2 linked regions of the Coturnix japonica genome follow. The protein of the gene in region 2 interacts with the protein of the main gene of each other region in a biochemical or structural test. Links are inferred from orthologs where the notes say so. Each region holds a gene or a part of one and is shown on either strand. Other genes may lie near its edges.

Region 1 (4,255 bases), on a different chromosome or scaffold from region 2:
ATTAAAGTTTATGGAGGAAAAAAATGAACATCTGACATCTCAGATTGCCACACTGCTGTCTTTGTAGCACCCCAAAAGGGAGCAGTGCTATTGATCGTTCTCACATGATGCCATATTTCCTGTTGTACAGTAGACATTAAAAGCTCACAGAACGCAGGCCTCTAAACAAAGCCTCCTGGGGAAATGCAGCTGTTGGAGAGGGGCAGAATGGAGATGAAGGCTAAATCTGTGGAGGCAGTAAATGAAAGCAGCATTTGTGCTACATGTGCAAGTCGGAAAGACTCTGTTAGGGCCGGTTTTGTTGATCTTTTCTTATTAGGCCTTCAGAAAAAAAATTTTCTTCCTGACAAGGCATCAGTTTTATTCAGCACTATTTTATTCATCTCAAATGGCAAATGGTCACTAAAGAAGATGGAGCAGTGGGAATACCTGGGCTGTAGTGCTGGTTGTGCCATCTGTAGGCTTTATGACGGAGGAGCAGAAAAGTGGCAGAGAGGAAGCAAGAACATGAGAAAAAAGATCGGGAGAAAGGAAGAGAGAGGCAAAAATCTTCTGAGCGTACTGAAGTGAACTGTAAATCCTTACCTGGGCAGGTAAGGAACTCCTCAGCTGGGGACAGTGAAAATTCACTGTGCTCACTGTAGTATGCTACTAGTAGTGTAAGAAATGAAAGCAACTTTTAATGTTCTCAGATGCCAATGTAGACACTTTGGAAATGTTGCTTTCTTTCCTGCAAGTAACTACAATTGTTCTTCAGGACTGCGTTGCTGGGCTTCCTGCCCAGCTGTTCTGGCATCACTGGCCCACATGCCCATGCAAACACCGAGATGAACCCAACATGAGGAAAAGGACAGATCCAGGTCTCCTGAATGTGCCTCTTTTTGCCCCATCTCTAATTTTCTGCTGTGGATCCACAACCCACACCCTTGTCCATTTCTTCCCTGCACCTGCTGCTGGCTTTGATGTTTGAGATGGCCTTGAGGTGCTCATTCTCAGTCCCTGGCACTTTGGCTTGCCACGGCTCATGTACGGGAGAAGTGCTTTCCTCTCCTGGCAGCCTATGGAAGCATTTGGCAGCAGCCTCTGGGCTTCAACAGGGGACGTCAAGGACTCTGGTTTTGTCGGGCCGCATCCTGAAGAAGTAGGAATCGCCTGCACAAACACAGAATCACGCTGGGTGAATTAACCGGCTGTTGCTGGGTCAGAGCACAAACCTCGGGGAAAGAGGCCACTACCCAGCCATCCCAGGGCTCCGCAGGAAAACCATCACTCTATGACTTCATTTATTTAACGACAGAAGGTGGGCAAAGTCTCCCCTCACCGCAGAGGGCAGCTGGGCAGGATTTCTACCGCCCGTGGAGGGCTCGGTCCTGCAGCGGGCGGCTCGCCGAGGCCGCAGGCACGTACCAGCGGGGGCTCAGCCGCCTCCAGCTCCGGGCCACAGGGCGGAAGGCACCGGAGAACCGCGGAGGGCGGGGCGGTGTTTCCCCGGCGACGGGCAGCGCTTCCGGCGGGAGGCGGATGCCGGAGGGGCCGGGCGGGAGGAGGCCGCAGGTACCGGAGGCGGAGGGGGGTGGCGACACGGCTGTGCTCGGAGCAGCGGGGCCTGCAGGCCGGGTGTCAGCGGGCACGTACGGTGCGGGCCGGGCTGCTGGGGAAGGGGAGGAGCCGGACGGCTGGGCGGGAAGTGGCCCCGCTCGGGAGCCTGGAACGGGCTGCTTGCATGGCCGGGTGCACGGAGAGAATCGGCCTCGGGGCTTTGTGTTGTGGAGTCGGGAGAGCCTGAGGTCTGTGACTGAGTGACTGCTGCTGTGCAGTGCGGAGAGGAGCCCTCCCGTGGGCCGTACCTTGTAAGAGTTGTTATCCCTCGTGTTTTCATTACTGGGCGGTGTTTGCTGTGCGGGCTGTAGCGCGGTGCAGGAATTGTTTGGTGTGTACGGAAATACAGAACGTTTCTGCTGTTGAAGTGAAACCGGCGGGAGCTGCAGGTGGCAGCAGGGGCAGAAAAATAACGGCAGCACCGGAGCGGGGCGGCTTTTTGGTTGCACGTTGCTTTGTTAGGGGGTACCGGGCTCCTTTCTGGTGTGCCAGTGCAGTGCAGCAGGGTTGTGTGTAAGCAGCGTCCCGCTCAGAAGCGGTGTGAAGGTTGTGTTGTACAGGGCTGAGCTTTCCCTCCTGCACAACGTGCTGTTCTGCACCGCAGCTCTCATAGCAAAAATGGCCTTTTTCTTTGGCTGGAGAGCAAAGCACGTGGCTCAGCGAGTGCTGAGAGCGGCCCGGACAGGAGCAGAAAGCACTTGGGAGGAATGGAAGTAGTTGGCTCTTTGGAGAAGTGCTCCTAATGCCAAGTGTGGTTCTTTTGTTTGGAAATGTTGAAGTAGGCCTTTAACTTTTTAAATCTGGGATCATCATTGTGCTTGTATTTTGATTGGCTGTGCAGGGTGTATGCTTTGCGTCTTGCCATGCTATTTCTCTGCTAAATGTGACGTTCTTAGACCGTGTTATGTCTGGTGAAGTGCTGTTGTCTGACAGCTGTTTTGCCCTTATACTAATGCAGGATGGCCGTCCCAGTCAGCGGCAGGTCCAGCTTGTGGCTCGTTTTGAGGAGGTGGAAAAAATCGCGTGCAGTCACTGTCAGAAAACGAAGCATGTGGAGTTGTGAGGATCTAAACAGAAGGGCTGTCCTGGTTTCAGTTCCACGCTTAGTTTCTTACCTCTCAGCTCTCACCTCCGGATCTTCTCAGTGCCCATCAGTTCCTGGACACATAGAACGCTGTGTTTTTCTGAATCGCTCTGATGCGAGAGACTGTGTGCTTCTGTCTTTAGCACCAGTGGGAAAGGGCAGGGGAAGTTCTGTAGAAAGCCCTCTGAAGGTCCCTGGGGCTTCACAAGCAGAACCTGAAATCTAAGAGGTCTTCTCTGGGTTCTCTGCCTGGTGTGGAACTGTAGACAGTCCCGGTGACCTCCTCCTGCCTCATGGTGCCACACCAGCACTAATTGTAGGAGCGTGCCAAAGGGGAAGTCTGCCAGTGCTGTCAAATAGCCAACACTTATAGCACTGGTGGTGTGCTGCCAGTTGTCCCTGAAGCCAAGTTGTGGTCCTTGTAGTGAGAAGGAGGGAAACTTGGTGTCTTGCTGGCCTGGTGGCAGTACTATCGCTTTTCTTTGGGATGGTTTGGATTTGGTCCTTACGGGCATCAAGACTGCTTAGGGGGCACTGTTATACAGGGCATCCTCAAGAGCTTGGTGTAGAGGGCATCTCCCTGGGTCAGTGGCTGGCAGCAGCTGAAGGTAGGTAGGGCCTCTGCCCACTGGAGTGAGGAGTGCTTGAGAGCTGCATTAATCATGCCTTGTGCAGGGCTGGGCGGTGGGGCTGCTGAGCTGCAGTGGGAATGATTTCAGCTCACTGAGTCATAGGGATCAGTGCCTCGCGTTACCATAGAAATCAGAGCAGTTGCTAGGGGTGGGGAGTTGCTTGTCATTTGGCCCTGCTGCTGCGTGGTTCTGGCATGAGCTCATGGTTCAGAAGAACCTGATTTCTTGCTCTCTGCTCTTCTGAGAGCAGAGAGGTCAGGCAGCTCTCAGTCCTTGCAGGAGGGCAGGGAAGGGCCTTGCTTGGGCCTCTGCTTGGCTGCAGTGGTCAGACCCTGTGTGTTTGCCGTACAGCCTTGACCATCCACTGCCCAGATGCATCTTGCTCTTTCATATTTCGGGAATCTAATTTCATTTGCTTAGCAAGGCCCCTTGCCCTCTGGGAGCCTGAGAGAAGCGAAAACTGGTTGTAAAGTGGTGAGTAAGAGATAAGGGAGGACAGGAGGTAAGCTTCTGGAGTAGTCTGGGGGGAAGGGACAAATGGTAACTGTTCCATTTCCTTTTATGTCAAAATACACCTAGCGTGGTCTTGAGTGTTGCCCTGAACATGGCTGTGACACCTTCCAGTGCTTGGGCTCTTGCAGGTCATGTCTTCAGGGCTTGATCTTTTAATTTGGATGGATACACAGTCAAGCTCTAGGGATGGAAGATGCAATATATTCTTGTCCCCTCCATTCTGCTAAAGGAAATGGCTTTACTGTAATTATCTTCTTTCCACACAAAGTCAGTGTGCCTCCTCAGATCATCTGTTAGCTCTTTGCTCCCCTCGTAAGGCAAAACAAGCACAAGCCTGTCGGAGCAGCACTGTTACAGGGAGTCTTGCTGATGTAAGGTATCATTTTGTGTTCCTACAGTTCCTCTTGGCTTGCTGCCTGCTGGCTGT
Region 2 (2,926 bases):
AAGTAATGGTAGTAAGTGTTGACATTGACAGGTACACTAAGGAGTGCTACTTTTCCTCCAGATTACCAAGTTTATATGTTACTGCTTGAATGCCTCAGGTTCATAGTCTGAATACAATGGGCCTTGCAATGCAAATCACGCGTGCTGGACAAAAGCAGGTAATACTGCTGTTCAATGTATACTGAATGGGGTTCTTAAGTTTGGCTTTCTCAGAACTTAAGGCTATAACACCGCAAGATCCTCTTAATTGGAGTAATTCCTAGTGGAGTGGCTTCACATGCAAGCTTTCAGAAAGAATTTTTTTTTAGCTTTCATTTCACTGTTTCTTTGTTCATTACCCAAGTTAGACAAGAAGCTTCCCTCAACAGTTACACACACAGAATGGTAGCCAAATCAGGTGAAGCTAATAGCAGAACATTCTAGTACATCTGTTAGATATACAGGAAAAAGTAAAAGCAAAAAGAGAAAAAAAATTATCACAGCTACTAAGAGAGCCTGAATGGTTAGCAAGAGACTGAAAGCTTGCAAAGTGAAAATCCAGTGACTGTTACTAAGGAATATATGCACTGCAAATACAAACAGCACTAAAAACATTAAATTGCATCTAAGCAAGTTAAAAAAGGTAGTTAATATGAAACTAAATACAGGATTAGAACTTGTTCCACAGTTGTGCCTCTGCTGCGTACTACAGCTTAGCACCTAAAAACAACTCTTCAGACATCACTTGTTAGAACAGTGAAACAATTCAATCAGTTCATACAGAAGCATGCTTTTGCCTCTTGAAGATGTGAAGAATCCACACACACCCCTTAAAGCTCAGAATCACATTTAAAAGTAGAGACTATTTACAAATACGTGGGTTTTCTGATGTTACTCCATGCATAAGAACAAGGTCACTAGTGCTCGTTTATATTTACAAATGCTTATTCCTTTACACAAGCCAATCATCTGGGAGTTAGTTGCAGTGCAAATAGTCTTATCTAGATGCAACCTTCATCAAAACATGAATATACCTTGTTTGTTTCTTTCTAAACTTTTCTTCTTCATACCTTAGTGGGGAAAAGTTTGATTTCAGTAAATATACAAAGGCCAAATTCAATAGAAGCTACAAACTGGTATCAGTGTAAATATAATTTGTGGAAACATACCAAGTTTTAAAATGGAAAAAGAAAAAAAAAAAAAAAAAAAAAAAAAAAAAAAAAAAAAAAAAAAAAAAAAAAAGTTTTGCACCTTCAACATCATCAATTGTTATCACAATTTAATTACTGCAGCATATTGACCCAGAACAACTTCCTGTATGTTATTTAGCCATCACTAAAGTTTAAAATTTGTATTTTTAAATAGTTTAAAACCAGATATCAAACACAGAAGTCTGAGAATTAACTACTATAAAGAATAAGCTTGGCTGACCTCTGATGACTGAATCAGGTTGCCCAGAAAAGCTGCGGACACTCCATCCCTGGAGACAAGGCTGAATGGGGCCCTAGGCAACCCAATGCAGTGTGTGGCAACCAGCCCACAGCAGGGTGTTGTAGCTCGATGGGCTTTAATGTCCCTTCCAACCCAAGCAATTCTTTAGTACAGAAAGTAGCTGTGTAAGTCTAGGAATGACAGCCTGGACTTCCCTAACATACCCTTCAAAAAGTCCCATGAAAATATTCCCAAAATAGCACAAAGCTGCTCCAACTGTCACATCTTTCGCCCTCAACAAAAAAACTGCATTTGCTCTATGCTATATAGAGCAATAAATAAATAAATAAATAAATAAATTTCACAACTAACACCAGCTCAATGTATATTGCAGCACCCAGCAGTCAGTTCATCCAACTGCCCAAAGCAATACTACACCATCTTCCTTCATAGAGTTCTCCATTAGCCATCACATCTGTGATCACCTACTGCGGCACATACCCCATGGACTCTGCATGTTACACCTTCCAATTAATTTACTAACAGAATTATTAATATTATTAATATTCCCATCTAGCTTTTCAAAACAGAAGTTTATGATTTCTCTTTATCACTGCATCCACAGATTCAAGTGTCATTACCACATCTGACAGCAGAGTTGTGCTGACATTAGATGGATATTATATGGCAAGGACCTGAAAGGAAGGAAGAGCAGAAGGAAAAAAGAAAATCAAGGACACTGGATACTGCCTTCCCCACTCTGCCAAAGCAGTTTCAGAAGTACTGTGGGTACAGATTCAAGCACTTTTATCCACAGCTTTTTTCAAATGAAATTCCTACCCAAGTGGTATTTCACTTCTTAATTTGTAGTGCAGTTTAGCATCAACGGTGAAGATATCACAAATAAGCCCAACAGAAATGCACAGAATTTCTTACTCAAGCCCATTTAGCATACAGCGAGTAGAAGAACTGCAGCAAGGCCTAATCTGCAGAAGAGTAGATACATCATAAACTGCTGATTATGTGAGACACTATACACGAAAGTCCTTGTGCATTAGCATTCCTTCTGTTCGATTAGATATTAAAACTGTAGTTCAGCAATTCCTCCTAGAAATGGCAGTTACTTAACATATCAAGTATTACATTCAAACCAATCACTAAATATATTAAACAGCGCTTCCTAAACATGTCAACATAGAACACATTTGAATGTTAAGACGTACTGTTTTATGCATTCTGGGATGCCAACGTATTCCATGGGGATGAGTTCAGCTAGTTCTGCCAGGGTAAAGACATACCTAATTTTCTGACTGAATTTTGAGCTGTGAAGAAGAAATGCAGGGTACGGTTACAACTTAAAAGGTATTCATTAGGTCAATATTTAAACAGTTAAAGACTTAAACTTTTATAAAGAAAAACAGCATCCATATCATTACCTAATAAAAGGTTTTGTGATGGCCAGAAGCGTTCTGATGAACCAAGAAGGATGAACTATGATTAATGACTTCAGATTCTT

What was found.
Region 1: the proteins of BNIP2 (region 2) and ARHGAP1 form a complex in vitro, tested with the Homo sapiens proteins (2 studies listed by BioGRID). The link is inferred for Coturnix japonica from reciprocal best matches to the Homo sapiens genes BNIP2 and ARHGAP1.

What each region holds. Positions count from the first base shown.
Region 1 is NC_029520.1:20,940,015-20,944,269, forward strand, and holds the start of ARHGAP1 (rho GTPase-activating protein 1), read left to right. Parts: upstream 1-1,451; 5' UTR 1,452-1,554; exon of another isoform or gene 1,555-1,636; intron 1,637-1,663; exon of another isoform or gene 1,664-1,850; intron 1,851-3,065; exon of another isoform or gene 3,066-3,789; intron 3,790-4,255. UniProt on the Homo sapiens protein: GTPase activator for the Rho, Rac and Cdc42 proteins, converting them to the putatively inactive GDP-bound state. Cdc42 seems to be the preferred substrate.
Region 2 is NC_029525.1:4,468,490-4,471,415, reverse strand, and holds part of BNIP2 (BCL2/adenovirus E1B 19 kDa protein-interacting protein 2), read right to left. Parts: coding exon 2,847-2,926; intron 2,733-2,846; coding exon 2,634-2,732; intron 1,050-2,633; coding exon 1,014-1,049; intron 1-1,013.